Sus scrofa: one gene and its partners. The protein of the gene in region 5 interacts with the protein of the main gene of each other region in a pairwise test. Links are inferred from orthologs where the notes say so. Each region holds a gene or a part of one and is shown on either strand. Other genes may lie near its edges.

The links.
Region 1: the proteins of LNX1 (region 5) and POMGNT1 interact in binary tests that used the Homo sapiens proteins (3 or more experiments, as listed by UniProt). The link is inferred for Sus scrofa from reciprocal best matches to the Homo sapiens genes LNX1 and POMGNT1.
Region 2: the proteins of LNX1 (region 5) and GRB2 interact in binary tests that used the Homo sapiens proteins (3 or more experiments, as listed by UniProt). The link is inferred for Sus scrofa from reciprocal best matches to the Homo sapiens genes LNX1 and GRB2.
Region 3: the proteins of LNX1 (region 5) and MAPK9 interact in binary tests that used the Homo sapiens proteins (3 or more experiments, as listed by UniProt). The link is inferred for Sus scrofa from reciprocal best matches to the Homo sapiens genes LNX1 and MAPK9.
Region 4: the proteins of LNX1 (region 5) and KCTD6 interact in binary tests that used the Homo sapiens proteins (3 or more experiments, as listed by UniProt). The link is inferred for Sus scrofa from reciprocal best matches to the Homo sapiens genes LNX1 and KCTD6.
Region 6: the proteins of LNX1 (region 5) and FAM118A interact in binary tests that used the Homo sapiens proteins (3 or more experiments, as listed by UniProt). The link is inferred for Sus scrofa from reciprocal best matches to the Homo sapiens genes LNX1 and FAM118A.
Region 7: the proteins of LNX1 (region 5) and DCTD interact in a two-hybrid assay, tested with the Homo sapiens proteins (2 studies listed by BioGRID and IntAct). The link is inferred for Sus scrofa from reciprocal best matches to the Homo sapiens genes LNX1 and DCTD.

Annotation. Positions count from the first base shown.
Region 1 is NC_010448.4:165,215,841-165,219,340, reverse strand, and holds part of POMGNT1 (protein O-linked-mannose beta-1,2-N-acetylglucosaminyltransferase 1), read right to left. Parts: intron 2,566-3,500; coding exon 2,154-2,565; intron 2,005-2,153; coding exon 1,877-2,004; intron 1,619-1,876; coding exon of another isoform or gene 1,532-1,618; coding exon 1,461-1,531; intron 1,227-1,460; coding exon 1,151-1,226; intron 969-1,150; coding exon 885-968; intron 796-884; coding exon 754-795; intron 545-753; coding exon 486-544; intron 162-485; coding exon 89-161; intron 8-88; coding exon 1-7. UniProt on the Homo sapiens protein: Participates in O-mannosyl glycosylation by catalyzing the addition of N-acetylglucosamine to O-linked mannose on glycoproteins.
Region 2 is NC_010454.4:5,939,423-5,943,522, reverse strand, and holds the start of GRB2 (growth factor receptor-bound protein 2), read right to left. Parts: upstream 2,801-4,100; 5' UTR 2,670-2,800; intron 1-2,669. UniProt on the Homo sapiens protein: Non-enzymatic adapter protein that plays a pivotal role in precisely regulated signaling cascades from cell surface receptors to cellular responses, including signaling transduction and gene expression.
Region 3 is NC_010444.4:78,337,096-78,341,265, forward strand, and holds the start of MAPK9 (mitogen-activated protein kinase 9), read left to right. Parts: upstream 1-1,370; 5' UTR 1,371-1,528; intron 1,529-2,515; exon of another isoform or gene 2,516-2,587; intron 2,588-4,170. UniProt on the Homo sapiens protein: Serine/threonine-protein kinase involved in various processes such as cell proliferation, differentiation, migration, transformation and programmed cell death.
Region 4 is NC_010455.5:40,209,369-40,213,296, reverse strand, and holds the start of KCTD6 (BTB/POZ domain-containing protein KCTD6), read right to left. Parts: upstream 2,801-3,928; 5' UTR 2,566-2,800; intron 2,523-2,565; exon of another isoform or gene 1-2,522. UniProt on the Homo sapiens protein: Probable substrate-specific adapter of a BCR (BTB-CUL3-RBX1) E3 ubiquitin-protein ligase complex mediating the ubiquitination and subsequent proteasomal degradation of target proteins.
Region 5 is NC_010450.4:40,437,735-40,441,981, forward strand, and holds the start of LNX1 (E3 ubiquitin-protein ligase LNX), read right to left. Parts: upstream 2,801-4,247; 5' UTR 2,429-2,800; intron 1-2,428.
Region 6 is NC_010447.5:4,089,085-4,092,584, reverse strand, and holds part of FAM118A (protein FAM118A), read left to right. Parts: intron 1-317; coding exon 318-570; intron 571-3,467; coding exon 3,468-3,500.
Region 7 is NC_010457.5:44,468,595-44,472,094, reverse strand, and holds part of DCTD (deoxycytidylate deaminase), read left to right. Parts: intron 1-737; coding exon 738-854; intron 855-2,187; coding exon 2,188-2,284; intron 2,285-3,500. UniProt on the Homo sapiens protein: Catalyzes the deamination of dCMP to dUMP, providing the nucleoside monophosphate substrate for the thymidylate synthase/TYMS.

The DNA of each region.
Region 1 (3,500 bases), on a different chromosome or scaffold from region 5:
CATACCCCTTGGGGACAGGGGGCCACGGGGGGACGTATTAGTTCCGGCCTCTGCAAATGCCCCAGCTGACCCCTGGCCACTCACCCACCTGGTCATTCCAGGCAGAGATACAGTACAGGCTGTCGTCCTCCTCCAGCAGGTGGATGGATTGGCTCAGGAAACTGAGAGGCAGGGCCCAGGGGTTCAGGGAGGGGCAAGGACAAACCCAGGCACCCAGTGGTGCTGGAAGATCTGGAGATGGGACTCAGGAATCGTGCCCCCTTCCGCGCCCCCCCCAAGCCCCACTGTCTCCACTCCTCCTTCTACTCTCTGCTCCAGCCCCGGCACCTGCCATCCCTCCTTCGCTCAGGCTTCTCCCCCACTTTGGACCTTGCTTCCTCCAGAAAGCTCCCCGAGACCCCTCACTGCCCTCCTCACCGGAGAGCCAGTCAAGCCAAGAGGCCCCAGGCTGCTTACAGGAGCTGTACAGACAGCACTCTTCTCACCTGAAAAAATCTACAGCAATGTCCAGATCCTCTTCCAGAACCACAGCAAATTTGGCTTCCTGGGCGGGGGGTGGGGACCACATGACCCCAAGGATCGTCTCCCCCACCACGTCTCCCCCACCTCCTTCCCGCGGCTCGGGCAGCACGACCCACATCTTCCACAGCAGGACGACGAGGCCCAGAGGCGAAGAGCTTGCTATACGCTAAGACCAGGCTTATGCCCCGCTCTCTCCTGCCCAGGCCCACGAGCGCTGCCCGTGCCACTCACCGGAAACAGGTTGAAAGTGGCAGTGAGGCTGGCCTTGTAGTGCTGGGTGAGGAGCAGGAATAGGGCACATGAGCTTTGGGGTGGACAGCAGGGCCCAGGGTCTGCCCCCTCCGTCCTTGCCCAGGCCGTACCTGGGACACACGGGCGTTCTTGATGCTGATGGGAGTGTGCTGGATGCCCCGCAGACCAAAGAGCGCCACCACGTCCATCGGCTCCTGAGGAGCAAGGCCACCGGTCAGCACGCGAGCCGCCCGCCCGGCCCACCTCTGCAGGCGCGGACACCCCACCCTGCCCGTTTCACAGCCTTTGCCCGGGCTGTCTCCTCGGCCAGGCCCCGGGGATTCAGCACCCGCAACCCTGCGCTCTGCTCGGCCCCAAGTCCCCGAGCCCCACTCACCTCGTAGTAGCCGTCGATGAAAACTGTTATCATCTGGGGCGACACCCCCTGGGCTGAGAGCAGAGAGCGCAGCATCCTGGAGAGCCCAGGGATGGATCAGGCCTCTTCATCCCCCCACATAAGGGCTCCCCTGTGCTCACAGACGGGCCCCGATTTCCCACGTTCACCCACACGGGTACGTGGACCTATAGCATCGAGGGGTGCACGTCCGCCCACCTCAAGTGCTCCTCATGCAGGGCGATGAGCCCGGGGTTCCCCCCACCGAGCACCCTCCCGTGCAGCGCTGGGAACAGCCCGCTCCCAGGCTCACCTGTACAGGTAATTGGGCCGGTTTCCGGCGATGACGGCCACGGGCACGTGGAGAACCTTGTTGTCTGGAAGCTGAAGGAGAAACAGTGTCCAGCGTTTGCCTCCCGCTCTCTTCAAACCGGGACCCCCATCTGAGAAGAGTCTCCAAGGAGAGCGGGGCTCCAGGAAAAAAGACAGGGGGTCTTCAGCATCCTGGCCCCTCCGCACACTCAGTCCAACTCCAGCCCCAGGCCTCTGCTCGCAGGGCCTGCTCCTGCCCCACAACCAGGACGCCCCGTCCCTGGCTCCTGGCGCCATAGTCAGCCTCAGCTCCTGGTTCCCTCCCAGGCTGCGGTAAGCAAAACTCAGCCTGCTTTCCTGGGGTGCCCTGCCAAGCTGGAAAGGGGTCTCGGCCTCACTGCCCAAGGCCCCACTCACTGGGTCAGGGCTGAACTCGATGGGTGTGGGGTCCTTGCAGCTGCACACACTCCCATAGCCCTCGACTTTGCTGCAGAAGCGGCGGCGGCGACGGTTCAGCTCTGTGTCTGCCCAGTGGCACTCTGCCTCTGAGGGAGGGACGAGGTCAACAGGAGGGGGCGTGAGGCCAGTGTGGTTTGGAAAAGAGAATAGAGAATAGAATAGAGCCCCATAAAGAGAACCCAAATGCCCACCCCAGCCCGGGCGCTGCCCTGGAGCCCAGCCCCCACTAACGCACCTTCGGCGGAGCTCAGGGGCACATCTGTCTTCAGCAGGACTGGATCCCCCCAGGAGGAGAGGGCGGGTGACTTCGAATGTTTCTCCCCGAGGACAGGACCTGGCAGGGGGCAGGAATGAGGCGCAATGCGAGCCCAGGCTCCAGGTCTGGAGCTTCTTCCCAGCGCCCTGCCCACTTTCATCCCGCCCACCGCCACTGGCTCCGATTTGCCCCTCGCCCCCCGCCCCCAAGTCCTGGGGCTCTGCTCCTCCCAGGCCCTTAATTCTACAGGGTGGATGGCTGTGGTGCCGGCACCTCCTTTGCGTCCCACGAAGGCCCAGGTGTCCCTCCAGCCCAGGGCAGGGCCGGCCTGGCTGCCTAGGCTCCTCAGCAGAGCCTTGGCTGTGTCCTTGAGGTGGAAGGAGCCCTCGTCCTGGGGGACCAGAGAAGGTGGTCAGCCTGACTGGCACAGCTCCAGGAGGCCAGGTCTCAGGGAACACCAACTACAGCGTCTCAGGCACGATGCAAAACCTCTTACTTAAATCAGCTCTTTTTTGTTGCTGTTGTTGTTGTCGTCTTTTTGCTATTTCTTTGGGCCGCTCCCGCGGCATATGGAGGTTCCCAGGCTAGGGGTCAAATCAGAGCTGTAGCCACTGGCCTACGCCAGAGCCACAGCAACGCAGGATCCGAGCCGCGTCTGTGACCTACACCACAGCTCACGGCAACGCCGGATCGTTAACCCACTGAGCAAGGGCAGGGATCGAACCCGCAACCTCATGGTTCCTAGTCGGATTCGTTAACCACTGCGCCACGACGGGAACTCCAAATCAGCTTTTAATTGTCACAGCCCTCTGTGGTTACCATCGCTTCACAGGTAAGAAAAGGGAAAAATCGCAGAGATTCTGAGAATCACCCCGTGGTCACCAGGCTAATGGGTCCTTACCGGATCCCACAGAGTCTGCATTGCTGTCCCCTGCCACCTCCTGCCCGCTTCCCACCCCCCTGCTCCTCCCCTCCCTTATTCTGTTCCAGCTCCACTGGCAGCCCTGGTGTGTCTCAAACATGCCGAGCACCTCCCCAGATGGGGGGCTTTGCACTTGCCATTCTTTCTAGGATGCTCTGCCTCCATCTTCACAAGGCTCACCCCTCACTTCCAGCTTTCTGCTTAAAGGGCATTTCCTGACTGAGCTTTCCCTTTGGGAAATGCATCCCCCATCACCTCGGCTCCCGTGCTTAAGTTTCTTCTTCATACAAGTTATCACTTCCTGACACTCTACGTCTGTCTGGTTGCTTTTTTGATCTTGGCCTCCTGCAACAGAGTCCATAATGGTAGGGACTCTGTCTTGCTCTCCACTGACCAGGCTGGGA
Region 2 (4,100 bases), on a different chromosome or scaffold from region 5:
ACTGATTCACTACGAGGTGCCTTCTGAAGTTCTGCAGCACAGTGGCCTTAGGCCCAAAACCTAATTTTTTTTTTCTTTTTTTGGTCTTCTGTCTTTTTAGGGCTGCACCTGTGGCATATGGCAGTTCCCAGGCTAGGGGAAGAATTGAAGCTGAAGCCGCTGGCCTACACCACAGCCACAGCAATGTGGGATGGGGCCGCATCTGCGACCTACACCACAGTTTACAGCAACACTGGATCCTTAACCCACTGAGCGAGGCCAGGGATCGAACCCTCGTCCTCGTGGATCCTAGGCAGGTTTGTTAACCACTGAGCCACAACGGGAACTCCAGAACCTAATTTTAAGTTAAGATTCATAGGTAATTCTTATGCATGCTAAATTTAAAAAATCATGCTGTACTGTAAAGGTATCTTTACCAGATTTTAAAGTTTACATCTCAGATGATGCATAATGTCTTTGCATAAATTGAAAATAACGCCTATCCACTTGGCACAACTGTGAAAAAGCCAACTTTGACAAAAAAAAAACAAAAAACAAAAAACAAAAAAAAAACAAAGGCTCTCAATAGTCATTCAGGAGTGCCAGAAATGTCTTCTGAATTAAGCGAATAACTATTAATTTCTCTCAGGAAACCATAGTGGGTCTCTATTCCGTATTACTTCATTTCTCCAAAATCTATTACTTTTTTGTTCTAAGTAACCATTAGAACTGTTGCTACACAATGTGCAACATGGTAACAAGAATTTCGGGGAAAAATCTCTAAGTACCATCAATTAGTTGTATTGAAAAACCTAGTAATCCCTCAAATCTGAACACACTTGCTGAGGAAGTAAACTGCCTCAAGCATTTGAGTGCTTGCTTTTAGTAACAAACAAAGCTGATTACAAGAATTAACCTTTTTAAATTTGGGGGATTCAGAACATTTTAAACAAAGGAAAGGCCAACAGAACATAGTTATTTCTTTCTGTCAACCGCCTTCCCCCCTCAAGCCCAGCAACAATAACAAAGAAGGCTGCTTATAGCAGATGCAGGAAGAGACACCTGATCTTTAAAAGCCTGGGAAAGAATAAGTTAGTACTACTCCAACAGGCAAGCTTTAATTAATTCATCAGTAGTCTAAATAAATTCTATTCCCTTAAATGGTTCAAGCTCTCTTGATTGTAATATAGGTGTCTATGGTTGGTTTTCATTTTTTAAGTCGCCTCCCCCGCTAAAAGCCAAAAAGAAGGCATATGAGCCCCAAATTGACCCAATCTTCCTTACTAACATAAGAGAGACATAGAAAAACCTGAGCAGGCACAAAAATGCGATCTAAAAGTGAAAAAAAACAACTAAAACACAAAAACACCAGCAAGCTACACTTGTGATCTAGTGCAGTATTAGTGCAGTATTGGTTACGGCTGAACTCAATCCTTTGAGCCTCCCAGCTCCCAGGGGGAGACCTTAAGTCTCGCACAGCTCTCTAGCAACCCTTCTGGCTGACTGAAGAAACACAGTGGACGCTTCACAGCAAAGGATAAAGCAGGGAAGAGGGCATCATCTTTCCGGGAGAGAAACGGAATCTTTAAATGAGGGAGAAAAACGAACGGGCGAAAGAGCAGAAACCTCAAAAAATTATGCCAAAAGGGACAATAAGGAGGAAGGGGAAGTAGATTAGACTAAAAGGGGGGAGGGGGCAAGTGACTTGCATTATACGGAGTAAGCATTTCGTGGCCGCAGAAGACAAGGGAGAAGTTTAGAAAGGCAGCAACTGTGGAGTGCAAAGTGAACAGAGGGACTAGAAAGCCCAGAAGACTAAAGCGAATTTCTCTAGTGCGCCTTTCTTTTCCACCCTCTTCTGAGACTCAAGAGTAGCAAAAGACAGAACCCGCGAGGGCACTTCGGCTCTTCTGCAAAGTATACTTTTGCTGCATCTGAAGCCAGCCTAGGTGAACTCCCTAAATAAGCTGTTAACTAGCATGGCTTTACAATCCTATACACAGAGAGAGCTGCAAATGAAAAGTGCCAGCGATTCTCTGCCCTCGATCACGGAAATCTTTCTTCGGAGCATTCCGATTAACTGCTGCTTACTTTTCTTAACAAATGTTTTTAGGGAAGCAGTCAAAAAAAAAAAAAAAGCGCAATAAAAGTAAAGGTATTTCTACTGGCTCCGGTAACAAACGTCCTCGCTCACAGTATTAATAGGGTTGGTGGGTTTCCTCCCAAAATTCGGCCCCCAAACACCAGGAGTTGGTGACGTGGTGGCCGTATAGGTCGAAGGAGCATCAATCACCATATTTGCAACCCGCCTCGAATCCCCCGCCTCCCGGGCCAAGTCACACTGACTCACAGAATGATTACCCTGTGTTCTCGGGCTTCTCCGGGTCCCCCCTGTGCAAACCTTCACGAAGAAAGCATAAAATTAAATCAGGAGCCCCCAGCCTCTCGTCCAGGGCTCTGTTCCAAGCCAAGGGTACTGAGAGGACGGTCCCCGGGAAGGAAGCGCCCCAAAAGGGGAAACATGGAGCCCGGAGCCCGGGCGCTCCGCTCCCCGCCCGGAGCCTCGCACTCCCGACCCCCAGGCCCGGCAGCCCACGGTACCCTGGGCCCGGTCCCCCGGGGCCGACTCCCGCGACGAAGCGGGGAGGAAGCAGCACGCGAGCAGCGCCGTCGCCGCCAGCCACACTCACCGTGGCGCAGCTGCTCCGCTCCACGCCCGGCCGGCCCCTCTGCAGCGGTGCGAGCGGCCGCAGACCCCTCTGCTGCTCCCCGAGGGCAGCGCCTATTCTCGCCGCCGTCACCGCCACAGTCTTCGTCGTCGCCGCCGCGGTCCGGTAGCTGAAGCAGCACAGCCGCCTCGCTTCCGCTCCTGGTCGGGGTCCCGCGAGAACTTCCCTGTGCGGCCCCGCCCCGCCCCGCCCCCGCGAGACTTCCCCCGGCGGAAAAGGCCCAGAGCGCAAGCGCTCCTCCTCCGCCAGGCCCCCCGCAGGTAGATCAGCTACAGGCCAGAGCGCAGGCGCCAGGCCGCCCCGCAGCAGGTGGCACCGACAGGGCTCCACCCCTGGGTCGCCGTAACCCTTTCGGTGCCAGAGCGGGTCAATTACAACTCACCTCCGAAAGAAAGGACTTTTTTTTTTTTATGCCCCACATTTGCATGATTCAATTGTCATATTACTTTTGATGGCCGATATCAACTTATTTTTTTTTTATTTCTCCACTGTACAGCAAGGGGGTCAGGTTATCCTTACATGTATACATTACAATTACATTTTTCCCCCAGCCAAGAAAGGACTTTTATGCACACCCTAATCACTTCGTTTTCCCCTTCCACCAACCCAGTTTGGCGGGGTTGGGGGGGAATCTCCCTCCCACGTGAAGCAAGCCAAATAGAGGATCAGGTCTGGAAATATTTGAGAATCTGGTCCAAACAAACTCTGCTGCGTTAGGTGAATGAACATATTCGTTCGCTCATCGATTGAACCAAGTGCCTAGTACATTCTAAGCACTGTGTCAAGTATAGAGGGTCCAACTAAGAACAGAAATCCGGGCCCTTTCTGCACAGAAACGAATTCAAGATCTATAGGAGGGAAAGAACAAATAATACCATAAGTACGGTCAGAATTATTTGGAGAAGGCTGAGGAGAGGCGAGGGGTCGCCGCTCCTCCCATCTCAGAAAAGCGTTCTCGGAGAACGCTGTGGCGTTATCTGAGCTGTCTTGGAGGATGAGTAGGAGTTTGCCAGAGAAGCCATTGCAAGGGCATTCCAGGCAAAGGGAACAGCACGCACGTACGAGGGAACGGAGGCGTGGGCATCGTGTTCCCTGCAACGCGAAGTAGTTTGATTCCTGTATGAGGCGGGGTGAGTTACCTGGTAGTGGCAGAAGATGAGGCTTGGAGGAGTAACTCTTATTTTTCAGTCCCAATCAAAGGAGAGAACAGAGCATCTGACGGTGATGTGAATTCCGGAAGCCACCAAAAGAGCAAGATATAAAAATTAAGAAACGTGGGAGTTCCTGTCCTGGCACAGTGGTGAATGAATCTGACTAGGAACCATGAGGCTGCGGGTTCGATCCCTGGCCTTGCTCAGTGGGTTGGGGATCTGGCGTTGTCGTGAGCTGTGG
Region 3 (4,170 bases), on a different chromosome or scaffold from region 5:
TCAGGAGCTACAATTTCAAGGAGGGATGTGCTATACTCAGTATCCAAAGTGGGAGTGGCCTGAGGGGGACACCATAGCTGGATCCCTTCCTCCATCCTACCCCTCTTCTGAGGCCCTGGTACCCCCAGCCTGGCCCTGGGTCACAGGCTTGCCACTCTCTCCAAATTCTGCCACCCCACCCCTTAACCTCTTCCACTGCAGAATCCTGCTCCTTCCTCCCGGTTTGGCCTCTGTCCTGGTCACCTGTAGTCCTGGTCACCTGTGAGGGCTGTCCCTCCTTCACAGTCCAACACTCTCCCCACCCCAAAGTCCAATTCCCCTCACCCCATCCACGGACCTCTGAGCTTTTTTCCAATGTGCACAGCCTTCTTGTCTCATTTCTGGCTTTGTTTATCCAAACACAGATCCAACAACACTCAATACTCTGGTCTCTCCCATCATTTCACAGGACTCCAGACCTGCTGGAACCCGACCCAGAGGCAAGAGGGCTGCAGGAGATGCTTCAAGAGGTCAGTGTCAAAAGCCCCCAGGCCCTAGGGGGCCGTCAGCTCTGCACTCTCTTCCCATTTACAACTCTGCCATTCTCTGAGACAGAGGCTTGACCTTTGCTTCAGGCGCCCCAGCCAGTTTTCTCTTCGCCTGTGTCACAGATCTGCCCGCGACACTTGTTTACACACGGCCGTCTCCTCGCATCCTCCTCCCCGACTTCTGGAAGCATTCCTCCAAACCCCTTCACAGTGAGCAGCGGAATCCAAGGACCCTATCTCGCCTCCCGACTCCCTGGCCGCCTCTGCCTCAGCCACCTGGCCCTGGATGCAAAATCCCAGCTTCTCCTCGCCCTCGCCCCGGGCTCTCCCCGAAGAGGGCTCTCCCCGAAAAGGGCCAGCTCCGTCTTCCTCCAGGCCAACTCGTCCCTGCCAGTCTGCACCTGCAGCCCGGTGGCCAGGCCCTCCGTCCTACCGGCCTGCCCTCTCCACCGCCTCCCGCCTCCTTGTTCGGCCGCCGCGCTGCTGGCCCCCGTGCGCAACAACGAACTCAGCTGGCGCGCAGGGCCGTGCCTGAGTCCACCAAGCGCGGACCCAACCTGCAGTACGGCCGCGGAGCCCGGGTCCCCGCAGAAACCGGCACTGAGTGGCCTGGCTCCGCCCGCCGCCCCGCCTGCGCCTCCTGACGGTAGCCCCCCCTCCTCAGCGCGATTGGCCGCGCTTGCCAGGCTTACCGCGAGCTGATTGGTCTTCACGCGGGTCTGTCAGGCTGGGCGCCGCGGCGGCGGCAGCGGCGGCGGCGGAGGAGGCTGGAGCCAGACCGGAAGGGTCCGAGCGCCCCGGCGCCCCTCACACCCACTGCGGCGGCGGCTAGTGGCGGCGGCGGCGGCGGCGGCGGCGGCGTGGCGGAGCGGAGCGGGGCGGGGCGGCTGGCCGAGCCCAGGGCAGCGGAGCCGCGAGCCGCGAGCCACGACCCGCCAGCGCGCAGCGCCGCCAGTCCGCCCGCCTGCCCTCTCCCCCAGGCGCGGCGGCAGGGAGGCGAGGTGAGCCCGGCGGGCGGGCTAGGCCCGGCGGGGACTGCTTGGGCCAAGCCCTGCCTGGGGGGGGCGGCAGGAGGGCCGCGCAGCCAGGGTCCGTGGAGGAGTGGAGGGCGGGGTGGGGAGTTGGGTGTCGCGGGGCCGGCTGACCAGTTCTGAGGAGCCAACCGGGTTCTGCTGGATTCTGGCGACCCTAGTCGCAGCCCCCTGTCTTCCTGGCTGTTGCAGCCGGGAGCTGAGGGCCCGCTCCCAGGTCTGGCCTCGGCCGACCTGCCTTAGGGTCTGTAGGCGCCACCCCTCCCGATTGTTTGGCACGCAGCTGCACACCCGCTTTGGGATGCTCAGAACCCGGGGTCTGGTTCCTGCGACCTTGGCAAAGGCATTGACCCTCGCTATTCCTTGTTTTTTCTCTCGGAAAGTGGGGGAAATGTCTATCCTTTTGGACAGGATTGTTGTCAGACCATATGAATATTTGTAAAAGCGCCTGGGGAAGAGCTCATTGCACATTTGGGGAAAATTGGGCGGGATACTGCCCCTTGCTGGTGCGAGTGTGGCAAGACCCCCCCCCCCCCCGCCCCTTCTGCCCAGAGGCCCCCATCCTCTAGCTCCTCCAGTGCCTCGTCATTGCACACTCATGCCCAGCAACGCCTGAGCGGGCCCTGCCCACCCCCCCCCCAGCTCTCCCCACTCCCCTAACCCAGAGCACTGCTCTCTTAGCCTACCTGTCTTACTTGCTGTAAACAGGCAGCCCTGTTTATCTCAGGACCTTTGCACTGGCTCTTTCCAGCAATTGGCGTTGTCTCTGGGCTCTTGGCACGGCTGGCTCCTTCTGGTCCTTCTTCTGGTCAGATGTCTCATTTTACTAGAGGCCTTCCTTGACCACCCTCTTTCTTCCCTTAGTCATTCTATCTCATGTTGTTTAATTTTCCCCTTAGTATCTGGTTTAAAGCTATTCTATTGATTTGCCTGTTTATTTTCTGTCTCTCCCACTAGGATGTAGCTTTATGAAAACAGGTAGTTGTCTGATTTGTCCACTGCTTTATCCCAGTGCTTAGAAAGCACACAGTAAGTACTTAGTAATACCAGTTCAATGAATGAATGAATGACCCTGCCCACCTGTTGCCTCTGTTCATTTAGTGACTTCTGACTAACTTGTGAAACTTGTATGCAAATGGAAGCTTGCTCTCGTTTTTGTGGAACATTTTTAATGTCCTTGACCCCTTTATTTGGTATCTGTCAGAACAAGCTGTGATATAAAATCTTGCATTTTTATAACGATTTTTAGCTCTAACTTCCTTGCACACATTCAGGAGGCATTTACTGAACTCTGCATTATCTAGGTCAGGTTTTTTGCCCTGGGGACATAAAGCCAATAGCAACAGGGTCCCTTCCTCCAGAGAGCCCAAGAGCCCAGTAAAGAAGGCTGATATGCAGACAGTGCTAGGACAGCTTGCTGTAGAGGAGGGGCTGAGCCATGGAAAGGTGGAGGGGGTGATAAGTGGTCCTGGAGTTGGGCCTTGTACAATGATGAGAAATTTGTCAGGCAAGGGGAGGCAAGAAGTGGGAAAGGGCAGGGAAAGGATTCCTCCCCAATGTGGCTCAGGAATCAGCCTTTGGGGCTAGGTGTAAGAGAGGTTGGAGTTAGAGGGACCCTGGAGAACCAGATCTAGCTCACCCGGTGGTTTTTAAAGTCAGAACTCTACATTTGTATCTGTACTCTCTTGATTTTTAAATGTTAGCAGTAGCTAATTAAAAAATATTTTAAGTGATGTAAACCATGCAACATACAGACCTCATTCAGCTTGGCTGTTGACCTTCTGGGCGGGTTGTGTAGGAGGAAAAGGTTGTAAAGAGCTGGAAAGGTAGCCTGAGGCCAGGGGAGCTAGACCCTGTTTATCCAGGTACTATCACTTAATGTGCCTGGAGCCCTGTGATGGCAGCTATGAAGCCCATTTCTGCATAGGAGGAACCAGAGACTCCCAGAGTTTCAGCAGCCTGTTTCACAGCAGGCAGATGGAAAGTGAAATTTGAACCCAGGTCTCCCCCACCCCACCCCCATCAGCATTCTTTTCTCAGTTCTGAGTTTTCTCTTTTGGCTCTTAATTTGTTCTGGAAGAATAGCATCCAGTCTAAATAATGATTTCCTTCACTTTAACCCTTTTTTTTCCCCTTCAGAAGACTCCTGCAGAGTTAAAAGTAATCCTATTTTGGCATAGTCTTCTCTGAAGAGCTTTGATTCTCCTGAGGATTTAATTTTCGGGAGACCAGGACTTTAAATAATTTGTTGACACATTAAAATGTGTTTATTTGGCCCTTCTAAATAAATGTTAGACAATGCACCTCAATTTGCCCGTTTAAAATAAAATCTTGGAGTTCCCGCCGTGGCGCAGTTAACGAATCCGACGGGGAACCATGAGGTTGTGGGTTCAGTCCCTGCCCTTGCTCAGTGGGTTAACGATCCGGCGTTGCTGCGAGCTGTGTATAGGTTGCAGATGCGGCTCGGATCCCGCGTTGCTGTGGCTCTGGTGTAGGCCGGTGGCTGCAGCTCCGATTCGACCCCTAGCCTGGGAACCTCCATATGCCGCGGGAACAGCCCAAGAAATAGCAAAAAAAAAAAAAAAAAAAAAAAAAAGGACCAAATAAATAAA
Region 4 (3,928 bases), on a different chromosome or scaffold from region 5:
AGGCACCATTCAACAAGTTAATGACTTAAAGAACCTTAGAACCCCTGAAAGTCATTCTCCTCACCACTGCAGATACCCAATTATGGGCTTCATGGTTATGATGAACTAATGTAGCACAAATAGTCTGGGTTTATCACTTCTGCTACAGACTAAGACTAAGAATACTCCAGGACAAAAGTCCTGCTCCTACACAATAACCTATATACTGCAATACACACCTCCAAACTTGAATAAATAATAAAAACCTATTTAACTACTGCCTTCCCAAAGTCTCCAAGTAGCCCTTTTAAAATGCCTTTCTACTCAATTCTTTGTGTCTGGCATTCAGGAAAGACAACTCAATAAATTCCATCTATACATACCTTCAAAATTACCTTTGTGCTGAGTTCCTCTGTTCTTGAAATGTGGGAGTTTGAAAGTGAAACACTTTTTATAGTAACTAGTTCAGCGACATCTAAAGGAGTCTTTTGGGTTAACATTCACGTACAGACTGGCACAAGTAGCCAGGCACACAAGGAGAATGTGATTATGGTGTTAGGTTATCCTTAACCAGAACCACTGCAAAAATAGACTGTGTTGTCCAAAAACTAATTCTTTTTTCTCTCTCCTCTCTCCATGAGTTCTCGAAGGAAGGCACTTTAAGTTGAAAAATGACTTTAATGCTAAAACATTGTCACAAATAGTCACGAAACCATAAAAATTCCTCTTACCCTCCGTTTCTATAAGGTAAAACAGAATGATACCACCTTCCCAAAAGTAATGATAACACTTAGGCACAACATAAAGACAACTGGCCTACAGGGTAACAGATCGGGAGTACGGTTCTGAAGTCACATGCAGGCCAGCAGAGAGGATAAAGAACTGGACACAGGTGAGGATCTGTATCCCAGGTCTGCTCCATTACTATGAGACCCGGAGTAAATCATTCTTTATGCCCAGCTTCTTCTTGAAGAAAACAAATTGAGATTACGATTAGAAAATTGTTGGTAAACTGGCAAGTATTAAACAAATGTGAAAACACGAATGGCAGTAGCATCAACAAAGTTTCTGTGGTAAACTGAGAAACTTGAGTGTGCGAATGAACACGATTTTGAGCACGGGTGTGGAGACAGGGTAAATTTGCTTCCAATCTCTCCTAATCCTCCTCTCTCAGGAGCTCAGAAGGGGGAACAACAGGTAAATGGGAGTATCTGGCTTTGAGAGATCATCAGACATCTGAGCCCTTGAACACAGAAGGAACTTCTCTAAAGCATGACTCAGGATTATCCACAAGGCAAAGCCAAATCCAAATAAACATGTGTATTCCATTTTAAAAAGACTCCAAATATCAAAATCCAAGACACACTGAGAGATTCATAGAAGGATTCACCCAAGAATTCCTTTACACAGTAATGCTTTAGTTAAAATATGATTTATGAAAATTCAAATCACACAAACATTAAAAATGGCTGTCCTGACCACTCAATTCCTAATTATCTGTGGCATTACACAAGATGAAGCATTAGTATGGCCTGACAGTTCCCAACCAAAGAGCAAGTTCTCCCAACATGACAGCCATGAAGGCAAAAAGATTTTTCTTTTCCTAGCTACACATCTGTTCATTTGAAAACATCTCAATCCTGGGCTCAGTCCTGTGCTAAAGGCTGTCCCCTAGAATCTTTCCTATCTTGGGATCATTCATGTACTTGGGCATTTGTGACAGCAAGAAAATCAACATGCCAAGAGAAGAGGAAACAGGAAGGGGCAACTAGGCTTCCCCAAATATTCTTAGCCAAACTAGGTCACTTCGGGTCTCTTGGCCCCTCAAATCTCTTCTATTACAAACCCCTAAAATTGGATTTATCAACTTGTTATAGAACAGCTATATGTGAACAGCAACATAACTTCAGCAGAACATCCAAACAAGATCTCTGTTTCATTTGCGCGTCACCACCCCCCGCCCCGACACAGCCTCCGACAGCCTGGCAGGTGCTTCAGGGGCTCCCCATTAACGCGGCCATTTATCACCTCTGACAAGCAGCATTAAAAATGCCCTGACACATACAAATCTCAGCCTAAAGAACTCAGCTGCGGTCAGAGTGTCTCTTTGGGGCAGAAAATCCCCAAATGTCTTTAAATTAAGACAAATAGGGGCGAATAAGCACCACCCCCAAAACAACCATTTTCGAGCAAACCTCGAGGTGCCCCCGAGCGGGCCAGATTGCACTTTGCCCGCAGGCGGAGCCCCCAGTCCCGACCCGGCCCTGGCGAGGGATAGGAGACGCTCAGGGCCCGGGCAGAGGGCGCGCACCGGAGCCCCGAACCCGGGTCCGCCGAACCCGCAAGTTCCCGCCCGGCGGGCTCCGGAACCTCCGCACAAGGCCGGCCCCTCGGCCGCGGACAGCCCGCCGCGGGCTCGTGCCAGCCCCGGAGCGCGCCGCCCGGGCTCCCAGCGGTCCCCTCAGCAGGGCCCCGCCACCGCCCGGCTTCCCTTCAACCTCCCTCCCCCGGCCGCTTCGCACGGGCTTCTAGTGCCCAGCCCTCCCGAGCCCCGGGCCCCCAAGCCGTGGGCCCGCCCCTACTCACTGCGCGGCGGCGGCGGCGGCGGCGGCGGCGGCGGCGGCAGCTGCCGGGCCGGGAGACGCCGGCGGCCGGAGAGTGAGACCGCGAGGACGAGCGAGCCCGCTCCCGGAGGCGGCGGTGGCGGCGGCGGCGGCAGACGGGACGACTGAGCCCGCGCCCGGAGTTGCGGCTCCAGCCGCCCGGAGCGGACGGCGCCTCCCCAGTAGAAACGCGGCGCCGCGAGCGAGAGCGCCCCCTGACGGCGGCGCGGGCGGGTGGCCGGAGGGCCGAGCGGCCAGTGGAACTCAACCAGGCGTAGCCTGGGCTGCTTGGTTAGGCCTGCTCCGCCGCAGCCCCAAAGCCCCGCCCTGACGCCCCAGAGGCTCCGCCCGAGACTCTCCGCGTCCCGCCCAGAATCCGCCCTAGGTCCCGCCTCCGCCGGCAGTTTGGAATCAGCCCAGCCCAGGGCAGTCTTCCCAGTGTTCTCAGGCCTAGGATACCCACAGCTGTTTCTTCTGTCATTTAACCAACACGTATGGGGCCCTGCCCATGTGCCAGGCCTGTGGGGAGAGCGGCCACCAAGAGGCAGGGACGTCCTAAAGAGAAAAGACCCAAGGAAACAGCCAGTAGATAAAACAATGACAAGCTATGATCATTATGTATTGGGAGGTACATGATCAGAAGAATTAGATGGAGATATAAGCGGAGGGGGCCTCTGCTTCAGGTGCGGTGGCTAAGGAAGACCCGGACTGTGACCAGAGCACCTCTGGGCCTTGCGTTCTGTGGGATTGGTAGTAAAGTCACTTATCCAGCCTGGTGGGCACAATAGGGAAAGGCAGCCAAGCCTGAAGGGTCAACGTGGGAGGCCAGGGGGGTAGAAGGGCAGAGGTGACTTCAGCAGAGAAAACGACCAATGCCAGGGCTCCGAGGGCTGAAAGAGCTGTCCTTAGATGACCCTGGCGCTGGAACAGCCCTCATTTCACCATGAAGGAAGCCAAGGCTGCAGAGAGGGGGCCATTACCTAAAGTTTCAGAGCTAAGTGATCTCCAAGCATAGCCTCCAAATTCCATTCGGTTCCTGCTAACCAGATCTCCATCCCTTTCCAGGTGAGACCAGGTATGCAATGTTGGTTTTTTCCATTTCCCCTTCACCAGGATAACTACTTGCCTTGGAAACTCACCTGTACTTTATGTCTGCCTATGCATCAGCTGTCTCTGGGGTTTAATTTTATCTGCATCATCATCACAGTCATATCTTATATTTAGGTTTTCTCTGAAAACTCAAATCAATAGACTAAATAAATGACATATGCTTCATCAACATAATTGAGTGCTACATTATCATACTGAAAAAGACTACGTGAGGATACAGGTAAATGTGTGTGAAA
Region 5 (4,247 bases):
AAAACTGGCTGGGAGAGGTGTTTCATGTGTTCTTTTTTTTTTCTTCTTTTTTTGCTTTTTTTAGGGCTGCACCTGTGGCATATGGAGGTTCCCAGGCTAGGGGTTGAATTGGAGCTACAGCTGCCAGCCTACACCACAGCCAAAGCAATGCGGGATCCGAGCCACATCTGCGACCTACATCACAGCTCATGGCAAAGCCAGGACCTTAACCCACCGAGCAAGGCCAGGGATCAAACCCACAGCCTCATGGTTCCTAGTCAGATTCATTACCACTGAGCCACAATGGGAAGGAACTCCATGTCTTTTTTTTGTGATGATCACAGTGGGTCTCCATGTTAAGTACTGTCCATGTCAAGTACTGTCCCCATCTTCTAGTTGAGTGAAAAGGCTTGGAAAGGCTTAGAAACAAACTCATTGTTATGGGCTGGATGATGTCCCTTCAAGTTTATATTCTAAAGCCCCACTGTATCTCAAAAAGTGGCTGGATTTGGAGATGAGGCATTGAAAGTGGTGAGTAAATCAAAAAGGGGTCCCTAGGGTGAACCCTAATCCAACCTGATTGATGCCCTTCCCAGAAGAAATTTGGACATGCAGAGAGACACCAGGGTGCAGGTGCAAAGAGGGATGACCACGTGAGACACAGTAAGAAGGGGGCCCTCTGCAAGCCCGGCAGAGTGGCCTAACCCTGATGTTGGACTTAGAGCCTCCAGAACTTTAGAAAGTACATTTCTGTTGGTGAAGCCACCCAGGCTGTGGTCCTTTGTTATGCAGCCTGGCAGACTAACACAGTCATACCACGCATCTGGTGGGGCTGAAGTTGCTATTCAAAATCAAGTCAGTATATTATAGGAAATTAAACATTTATATAAATACTCAGAAATATATTTTAAAAAAATCAAATCAGTATAGCTTTGATGCAAGCCACCTTACTACAACAGGGCTTCTGCCATGAAACCTCTCCTCCGACCCTCTCCCTTCAACAGACCGCCCAGGACACTCAACCAAGTATCCTTAACCGATCCCTCCTCTGTGACCTCACAGCACTTAGCACACTGCCTATAGTGGGTTACACACAACTAACCCATAATATTGTGGTCCAGTTGAGGGTAGGGCTCCTCTCCCATGGAGCCAGGTACATGGCAGTTAAATAGTTAGTATGAACTGAGCACTTGGGTGCCAGCAAAGATTTCACATGCATCATCGCATTGACATCTTAAGACAACCCCATGAAATAGGCATCACCACTGTTCCCACTTTACGTGTCAGAAGACTGAGGTCACAGGGGTTATCTGAGTCACCCCAGGACACAGCTACTAGGCGGTAGAACCAAGAGTCATATCCAGATGGTCTACCTTCCCAGTCTGCTCAGTACCCCCTCTGCTCCTCCGCTGCCAGTCTTGCTGTAAATGCTCACTCCCTCCCTACCTGGGGCGGCCAGGGGACAGGGGGAGGGGTGCGCTGATCTGCATTGCTCTCCCTCAATATAAGTCTGCACGTCACGCTAAGCCTGGTGTAAGGCTCCCCTCCCATGGAAAGCCTTCTCATAAACAAACTCCTCTCCCAGCTCCCACTCCTTCAGCACCACCTGGGCATCCAGTCTGCCCTGCGCCCTGACACGTGACCCAGAGTTGGGCACATGGGCCAGCGCTGATCAACATCTGTTGAACTGGAGTCAATGCCTATGGAGAGAAGCAGACAGGGATATACAATGCGGTGGCGTATTGGACTAGACCCCGTGACTCTCTGTTTCTGGATTGTCCAGGGGAGTTCCTTGCTCCGGTTCCATCCTCTCATCAGATCGTGTGCTGGGAATGTGGCAGAGAATGGAGCCTGGTATTTGGTTTAGAGAGGAGAGTCACTAGTCTGCTGAAAAGAGGCGGAGCGGCAATGAGATGGACTGTCTCACCTCCTACCTGCTGCTGGGCAAGTCCACTGCTCTGGGCCTCAGTTGCTCTGTAGGTGAAAGTGCAGTGATGATGCCTATTTCTACTGCCGAAATGGGATAAAATGCGTGAATGTATTTTGAGTATTGATGACGAATAATGTCACAGAAACCCAATCATTATTAGTGGGATTACTTATGATTTACTGACTTGCTTGGCCAGTAAAAAAAAAAAATTTACATATGTATATATGTAGTTTTTATTTTTGAAAATAAAAGAAGAGGTGTCGTGAAGAATGCAGAAAAAAAATAAATCAAGCCTAAAGAGAGCAAATATCCTGAGGCCTTTCTAGAGTGTTTTGGAAAAGACAGACCTAGATATCTCTAGGTTCTCAACATCTTGGGTGTGTGTGTGTCTGTGTGTGTGTATGCATGTGTTTGCGTGCAGTGCAGTGGGGGTGAGGGTGGAGGCTGGGCTGGGATAGTCTGGGGCAAAGTTTTCTCCAATTGTCTGATGCCACCCTCTGGAGGAAGAAGGCCTCTTACCTTTGCTGTGCTGTGAATCAGTTTCCAGCCAGGTAAGACCTCTTGGTACAGTCCATTTGGGAGCTAAGTTTTTCTGACTCAGCAGTAGCCCAGAAAAATACTCTTCCTCTTTCCTGTGGCCTGTCTTCCAGACACGCATGAGAACCACCCCGCTTTGCAGTTCATCAGCTCATCCCAGGCCCCGTCTGCAGGCTTTGCACAGAGCTGATCCATCAACCAGGGGAGAGAGGCCCCCGCAGAACAGCCACCCAGGAGCATCGGTAACAAGTCTGCTCTGGTTTGCATGGGGCCGAGGCCCCCTCCAACTTCCTCCTGCTCTCGCCAAAGCCAGGATCCTTTTGTTCACCTTTAGAGCTGCCAAATCAGACCTACCGCACCCCTGGATGTTGTTTTCCTGCAGGCAATGGGAAAATGAGCTTGGAACCAGGGAAGGGAAATCAACAAGGAAATAAACACAGGGTCACTGCCCCTCCAGGTCAGCACCAGGCTGGGACATCATCATGCTAGGACCACTTCCTGAACAGGCGGGAGCTGGCCACTGCCTGGACGGGTCTCAGAATCCTGGGCATCTTTTCATTTTTAAGTCTGCGAAGAAGCGTGCCTCTAGCTCAGAAGCATGAAATCTATCTCAGACAAATCAAGCAGTCCTGACTCGCTCCGATGCCTTGCCAAATCTTTCAAAGATTTTCCATAGGCAGCATCTCTCGTAACGGAACACTGGCAAATGTTTTTAGACAAAGAAAAAGAGGGAGCGAGTTCATGGCTGACACTAGCTAAGACTTTTAACGATATAGATAAGACATTTAAAGATACCCTCTAAAGATACAGGATTATCGTTTCAATAAGGATTTCTTCTACCTACTCTTCCAGGTCACGGTCATCAGCAGCGGCACTGTCTTTGCTTGCTTACTTCACTTATGGAGACTTTACTGTCAGCTGGGTCCTGGGCTAACGACCTCCCCTGCATTATTTCATTTAATCCTTGACATAAGCGTATAGTTCTCATCCCCATTTTGTGGATGAAGAAACTGAGGATTAGCAAGATTAAGTCACTCCTGCCAAGTCACCCAGCTGGTTAAAAATGTAGAAATTGCCTTTCTGGAAGGGTGTTCTTCTAAGCCCTGTTTTTCCCGCCTGTTGGCTTAGGTACTTCTGTGGTCTGACAGCTCCGGTGGTGGCCAAAGAAACTCTTCGATCTGGGAATGGAATTCTAAACAGAACCACAGATCATCAGCTAGCTAAGCGGTCTTGCCCTGGAGTTATGAATCGGTGCTACCTTTCGGTAACTTGCACACAGAACACACCTAGCCCAGGGACCCCTGCCTCTTGCTAATCCACGGGGGCACTGCTGGCTGCTGTCACCTGGCTGTCCACCGTGATTCTTTTTTTTTTTGTCTTTTTGCCATTTCTAGGACTGCTCCTATGGCATATGGAGGTTCCCAGGCTAGGGGTCTAATCGGAGCTATAGCCTCTGGCCTACACCACAGCCACAGCAACATAGGATCTGAGCCGTGTCTGCAACCTACACCACAGCTCATGGCAACGCCGGATCCTTAACCCACTGAGTGAGGCCAGGGATAGAACCCGCAACCTTGAGGTTCCTAGTCGGATTCATTAACCACTGAGCCACGATGGGAACTCCTCCACTCTGATTCTGATCTACCTGTAAGGAAGTGCCCTATAAATTTCGTGGCTTTCGTGTGTGCTTCAGCCTGATCACAAGTTCATCTTTTTAACTTAGAAGCCTAACAGTTAGGAGCTTCTTTTCATAAGTCATCCATAAGCTGAGCGATTCTATCTCAGCCTGGAAACGTCTGCT
Region 6 (3,500 bases), on a different chromosome or scaffold from region 5:
GCTGAGCCACCATGGGAACTCCATGCTGAGCTTTTGTGTTTGCAAACATATTATCACTTAAATGTGCACTCAGCACGGTAGGGGACTCAGGTAAATAAGACGCACCCATCCCCAAGTCCCTTCTGGAAAGAGGCTAGAACATGTGAGGTTAACACACAGGCTCTGTTGCCATCAGTAGAAACTCAGGGACGTTGCCTGCATGTCCCGTCCCTGCTGGACTTGACCCGACCCTTCGCAGGCCCTTCCGGGCTGCACTTTCTGCGCGTTCCTGGACTTCATGTTGACCATCCCTCTCTCCCACCCTTGTTTTTGAGCAGAAAGTTTTTAAAAAGCCTCATCCGGAAACAGCCTCAGGAGCTGCTCCTGGTGATGGGGACGGGGGTCAGCGCGGCCGTGGCCCCGGGAATCCCGGCGCTCTGCTCGTGGAGGAGCTGCATCGAGGCCGTCATCGAGGCCGCCGAGCAGCTGGAGGTGCTGCACCCGGGGGATGTGGCCGAGTTCCGCAGGAAGGTGACGAAGGACAGGGACCTGCTGGTGGTCGCCCACGATCTGATCCGGAAGATGTCCCCGGTAAGCCTCTCGGCCCAGCCAGCGTGCGGGCGGCAGCAGGCTCTGGGCCAGGTGGTGAAGCTGGGATGGAACGTTTCGATTCCCACCAGCCCACGTTGTGTCCGCGCCTCCCGGAGGGCGCCGGCCAGCCAGAGACGGTTCAGTTCACCAGGGGATGCCAGGCGTGCTTTGGTCCCCCGACGCAGTCTGTGTTAAATGGAGCCTGGATACGTGCGCCGTCTCGGGGGGTTCACGGTGCAGCCCTGGGGGGCTCCTCGAGGGGGGGGCGGGCATCCAGGTCTGTTTCTGGTCTAGGCGGGCCGCCACATCTGCACGTGACGAGACGAGTGGCTCCTAAACATTAAAGACGGGCGAAGACACAGCTTGTTTGTCTGCAGGAGGAGGGGGCCAGCAGAGGAAGAGCAGCTGGTGATACAGGAGGCTGCTGGGCAATGCCCTGGGGTCAGCGGTCCGACAGGCCATGTGGTAGAGGCCCGAGGCGCGCTTCTTCTCATCGAGTTGTTGAGGACGGCCGGCCGTCACCTGCGCCTTGCGGGGTGGATGCTGGAGGAGTGACGAGGAGGCCTGGAGACCAGCACGCAGGGTTCAGGGTTCGGGCGCCTGCAAAGAACCCAGAGTGCGTGGCTTCCACGTGGCCGCACTTACAGTTCTTTTTCTTTTTCTTTCTTTTCTTCTTTTTTTTTGTCTTTTTACGGCTGCACCCAAGACACATGGAGGCTCCCAGGCTAGGGGTTGAATCTGAGCTGCAGCTGCCGGCCTACACCACAGCCACGGCAACACCACATCCTTAACCCACTGAGCGAGGCCAGGGATTGAACCTGTGTCCTCATGGATGCTGGTTGGGTTCTTTACTGATGAGCCACGACGGGAACTCTCTGCACTTACATTTCTGACATTGCAGTCCGGTGGGGGGCAGTCCCGGGGAGCGCGGGGGCTCCCTCGTGGTTCTGCCATCCTCACCGCAGTGTCTGCCTTGTGCTTAAGGTTCGCCACGCTGCCTCCTGCCGGAAAGGAGTGCATCCAGCTAGTGGGGGCGGGGGGCGGCAGGGGACGGGGGGCGGCGGGGGCGGGGGGCGGCCCTTAGGGCTCTGAGGCACACCTCACTTTGTTTTCATGGCCCTGGCCATAGTTTTACCCATGGCCCCCCTGGCTTGACTGGAGTCTGGGAAGTAGTTTTAGCTGGGTGGCGATGCCACGTGTGGCAGCTGGCATCACAGGGGGTGGCTGTGGCTTTTTTTTCTAAGTAAAATGCACCCCATTGGTTTACACATTTTCTAGCACTGCTTTCATGCTTCACCAGCAGAGACCGTGTGACCAAAATAGTTTGCTCTGTGGTCCTTTACAGACAAGCTGCTGAGTCCTGTTGGGGTGGGGGGTGCAGGGTCGATGGGCCGGAGTGGGGCTGCAGGACGCTGGGTGGCTCGGGGCCCCTTAATCAAGGAGAGGAGGGTTGGGAGGTTACATGTGTGTGTTTTCGGGAAGTTCCTTAAAAGAAGAGTCAGGCCGTTCAGAACCAGAACGGTGTGTCCCCGTGGGGCCGGGCAGGTGGAGCGTTGGTTTTATCCGGGCTGGGTTCGCCCGGGGAGGGCCCAGACTGGGAGAGCGTATGTGAGCAGCAACCCCAGTGGCACATGAGGGGGTCTCAGCTGCTTCAGGGGACAAGAGAGGCTGTGGGGACTGAGACGGGCCAGTGGCAGCCAGTTCTGATGGGGTGCCATCTCCCGGGAGCCGGGTGCTAAGACCCGAGCGGGTGGGGGAGAGGCTGGACCAGGGCTTCTGGTAATGACGAGGTTTAGGACGTGGCCGTAGGCGCGGATGGCAGAGGTGGGACGAGACCACTGGAGGCGAGGGGTGAGGAAGGCAGAGGCCATGACGCCGAGAGGGGCGACTGTGTGGATGGGAAACCCACCTCGAACTGTGACAGAAACACCGCCGCCGAGGGGCCTTGTTGGTGAGCGGGTGCCACCCGCACACTCATTGGTCAGGGCATCAGGGTCCCAGGGACGTGGGGAGCTGACTTTCAGTGGAGAAGGAGCATGATGGTGTGGGGAGGGTGGACTGAGGGTGACTGGGGGTCCAGAGGCCGGGGGTGTGGGCATTCCCGATGCGGGGGGGGGCTGGGGTGCAGGCCAGCCGTCCCGCCAGTCCCAGTGCAGGGCTGGGTGAGGGGCGCTCACGCCGGGGAGCACGAAGCACCCCCCTCTGCTCCCTTCACACTGAAACTCTTCGGAGGGGTTGTTGCTGTTGCCGGTGGCCTCCCTCTCGCCAGCGTGGCCCAGCTGGGCTCCCAAGGTGGCTCTGGTCAAGGCTGCCAGTGACTCTCGGTGCTGCATGCAGGGGCCAGACCTCAGCCCTGTCCCGCTGGCTCTCTCCCGGTGTGACCCGATTCCCAGCCCAGTGGGGAAACCGGTACCTCTGTGGCTGTGGCACAAGGAGAGCCACGGTCTTCACTGTGGCCTCTGGGCCCCCGCAATCTGGTTCCGCAATCTGGTTCTGGGACAGGTGCGCTCACTCCCCTCTGGAGACCAGGGCCCCTTGCTGCCCTTGGCCCGGCCTGCGCTGTTCCCTCTGCACCCCCTGCCAGCTTGGATCAGCCCCTCCAGGGCGCCTCGCTCCCCATTGGATGCCCTGTGACCTGTCCACCCTTTGCCCTGCGGGGCCAGCCCCCTCTCCGCTCTGCTTTCCCTGTGGCGCCCGTCACAGCCGACCTCTTACTTAGAGACTTGCATCTTGCCTCGGCCTCTTCCAGAGTTCTAGGCTCTGCGAGGTCAGCGGTTTTCTTTCTGTTTTAAAAACACTGCTGTGTGCCCAGCTCCCGGGCTCTCATCAGCTGCCTAGGTGTGGAGTAGCTGCTGAGAGACGCTGTTTCTCCTAACTCTGGCTCCACCTCTCCGCAGCGCACGGGCGACACCAAGCCCAACTTCTTCCAG
Region 7 (3,500 bases), on a different chromosome or scaffold from region 5:
CCTGCGGATAAGGGGCTGGAAACACCTAGCTGCATAGCCTGGGGGAGATGGGTGGGCTTTAGCAGGTGCCAGAGAGGAGAGGAGGGAACCTCCTTAACCTTGAATTCAGGCGAGCCTGGGGACGACCTTGGATCATTGGTGGAACGGGCCACTGTAGCAAGAATCTTGACTTTCCATTGTCATTAAGTGGATTGGATAATTTTCATCCGGAGGACAAACTACTAGTTGTCCTCGGGCGTTTTGCTTGGGTGTATGTGGGCTGAGAATGACAAGGTGCGTCAGATCCCTAGGGATGGAAATGCTCAGCTTCACTTCATGATTCTTTTGCTCTTAAAATTGCTCTTTGCCCTCCTAACTGCCACAGTAAATAGCCCCACCTGTGCATATCAACACACAAATGAGCTGTTTTATGCTGCCAGTTCCACACCCCAGGGTCTTGTGGAGCAGTGAGCTATTGCTCTGCTTGGAGTGGGTGAAGACACTTGACCTTGGTCCCTCCTGGCCCCTCGAGGTGCTAACAGACACAGGGCTGCTGCACTCAACGGTTTGGCTGCTCATCCTGTCCGACCACATGGTCCTCATTTCTCGGTTCTTTGCATTTCTAATCAATTTTTTAACAATTGAGTCTATTGTCTGTGTTATTTGAGAGAGGGCACAGAAGATGCCTCATCCCTATTAGCAAATTCTTCATGAGCTGCAGTCTGAGTTTTTCTTTCTTTCTCTTTCCAACCCACCAGTGTGCCACGCCGAGCTGAATGCCATCATGAACAAAAACTCGGCGGACGTGAAAGGCTGTACCATGTATGTCGCCTTGTTCCCGTGTAATGAATGTGCTAAGCTCATCATCCAGGCAGGTAGGACCCGGGCCGTTTCCATTTGTCACATTTGCATTGCTACCTGCTCACTGCAGATGTGTTTGATCTTAAATTGTGATTGTTTAGATCTAAATTAATTGCACTATCAGCTCTGCAAGATATTTCCATGTTTTGTTTTTGAATGGTGCCAGGTATTCTAAGACTAATTGCATCCTCTGTGATTCTTAGCATGTTTTTAATTTGGTTTGCAACTTCTTAAACTGCAAGCTGCCAAAAACAACACAGGCATTGCATATAATTACTGTCAATTTACTATTCTCTGACATATTGTGCATAGATTAGGGGGAGGGAGAGAAATGAACTTCTGTCAGAAACAAGGTCAGCTGGGAGGCTGTATATGAAATTTTAATTTGTATCTAATATCTGGTAGATATTTGAGGACCTAAACATCTCTTTGCATATAAATGTCACAAGACTCAAATGGTACAACTTTACATTTTCCTTGCGTTACGGTTACCATAAATCTACACCCTTGTGTTTGGACTAATTCACCATTCTCAGACTGTCACATCTAAGACTCAGCTACCCTTTAGCTCCATAAAACTCTCAGCTTGAGATTTAAAGACGTAACATGTTAGCCAGATGTGTGGCTTAGCAGGGCTGTTTGTCACAAGCCTGTGGATCTCTGAGCAGAAGAGGTCTGTCGGGATCAGGGTCAAGGGCCTCCGTTAAGGAACATCGTGGGCTTCCTCACTGGTACTGCCCCATCCTTCAGGACTTCTCCTCACCATCCTTAAGCAGAGACGCGGCAGCGGGCATGTGTGGGGATCAGCTTCCCGTGGTCCCCTCCGAGGCTGGTGGAGGAGCAGGGTGGAGTGTCAAGTGCCCTCAAGTGAGCCCCGCTTGGTGAGACAGGGAAGGAAAACAGATCCACCCTCTGTCGAGCTGGCTGCACGCGGTCTGTAGAGCTGTTCTTGGAAGCGCAATGGACCTGATCTCTGATTTTGCCAGTATTTTCCCTAACCCCATTAGCCTCTTGAGTTAGGAGTCATTGCCTTGTGCAAAAAGAATATTTGACTGCCATCAGTAAAGAAAATTTGTTAATCGGATCAAGGCTTGACTATTTGACATGTTTTCCCTTTGCGTGTACTTTTTAAAAAGTCCGTAAAAGACTGGAGGGCAGATTAAATGTAATCCATCCACTGCTGTATTTGAAAGCAGCAGATGCATGTTTGGGTAACTGGACGTCGGGGTGTTCTCTTGCACACTCAGGAAAGGTGCTTAATCAAACACCACCAGGGCTTCTGTCCTTAGGTCTGTTGCACTCTCTCGATGGCCTATAATGAGGTTTCTTCCATTGTTGCCTTTTAAGGGATAAAAGAAGTTATTTTCATGTCTGATAAATACCACGATAGCAATGAGACAACAGCGGCGAGGCTCATGTTTGAAATGGCCGGGGTTTCCTTCAGGTACGTGGGAAGCCCTTGGGGGAGAAGGTGGTGTGAAGACTTGATGAAGAAGTACATTTGACCTTGTCTGACATCTCATGTCTCCTTGTGATGCCTGACTTCCCCACGTGGAAGCATCTTTTTAAACTTGAGGTGCTAAGATTCGGAAGATACTCTAAGCATAGATATTTTTGTTTCTTTTTTTTTTTTCTAGGGCTGCGCCTGTGGCATATGGAAGTTCCCAGGCTAGGGGTCTAATGAGAACTGCAACCACTGGCCTACACCACAGCCACAGCAACGCCAGATCCAAGCCATGTCTGCAAGCTGCACCACAGCTCACAGCAATAACTGGATCCTTAACTCACTGAGCGAGGCCGGGGATTGAACCCACATCCTCAGGGAGGCAACTTAAGGTCCTTAACCCACTGAGCCACAGTAGGAAATCCAGAGAGATTTTAAAATTTACTAGTTGGAGTTCTCATCGTGGCGCAGTGGTTAACGAATCTGACTAGGAGCCATGAGGTTGCGGGTTCGGTCCCTGGCCTTGCTCAGTGGGTTAACGATCCGGCGTTGCCGTGAGCTGTGGTGTAGGTTGCAGACACGGCTCAGATCCCGAGTTGTTGTGGCTCTGGCGTAGGCCAGTGGCTACAGCTCCAATTCGACCCCTAGCCTGGGAACCTCCCATATGCCGTGGGAGCGGCCCAAAGAAATAGCAAAAAGACAAAAAAAATAAAATAAAATTTACTAGTTAACATTAAACCCTTGTAAATTTTTCAGATGTAACAACTCTGACATAAAAAATTCAGGGTGAAAGTAACCTGCCAGGTTGAAACATGGGAATTCTTTCAACAGCAATAGTTTAAATTGAGATTTGGAGTCACTAGGATTTATATGCTTGTCTTTGCAAGGCAGGGATTGGGAGGTATGAGTTACTTGTGATTAAGTTCAACCACCTTTGGTTCCTGGTGGAAACTTCTATTGAGACTGAAAACTTTCTTTTTTTTTTTTTTTTTTTTCTTTTTAGGGCCAAACCCACGACACATGGAGGTTCCCAGGCTAGGAGGCTAATCGGAGCTGTAGCCACGGGCCTACACCACAGCCACAGCAACACCAAATCCCAGCCACATCTGCAACCCACACCACAGCTCATGGCAACGCCAGATCCTTAACCCACTGAGCGAGCGAGGCCAGGGACCGAACCCGAAACCTCATGGTTCCTAGTTGGATTCGTTTCCAC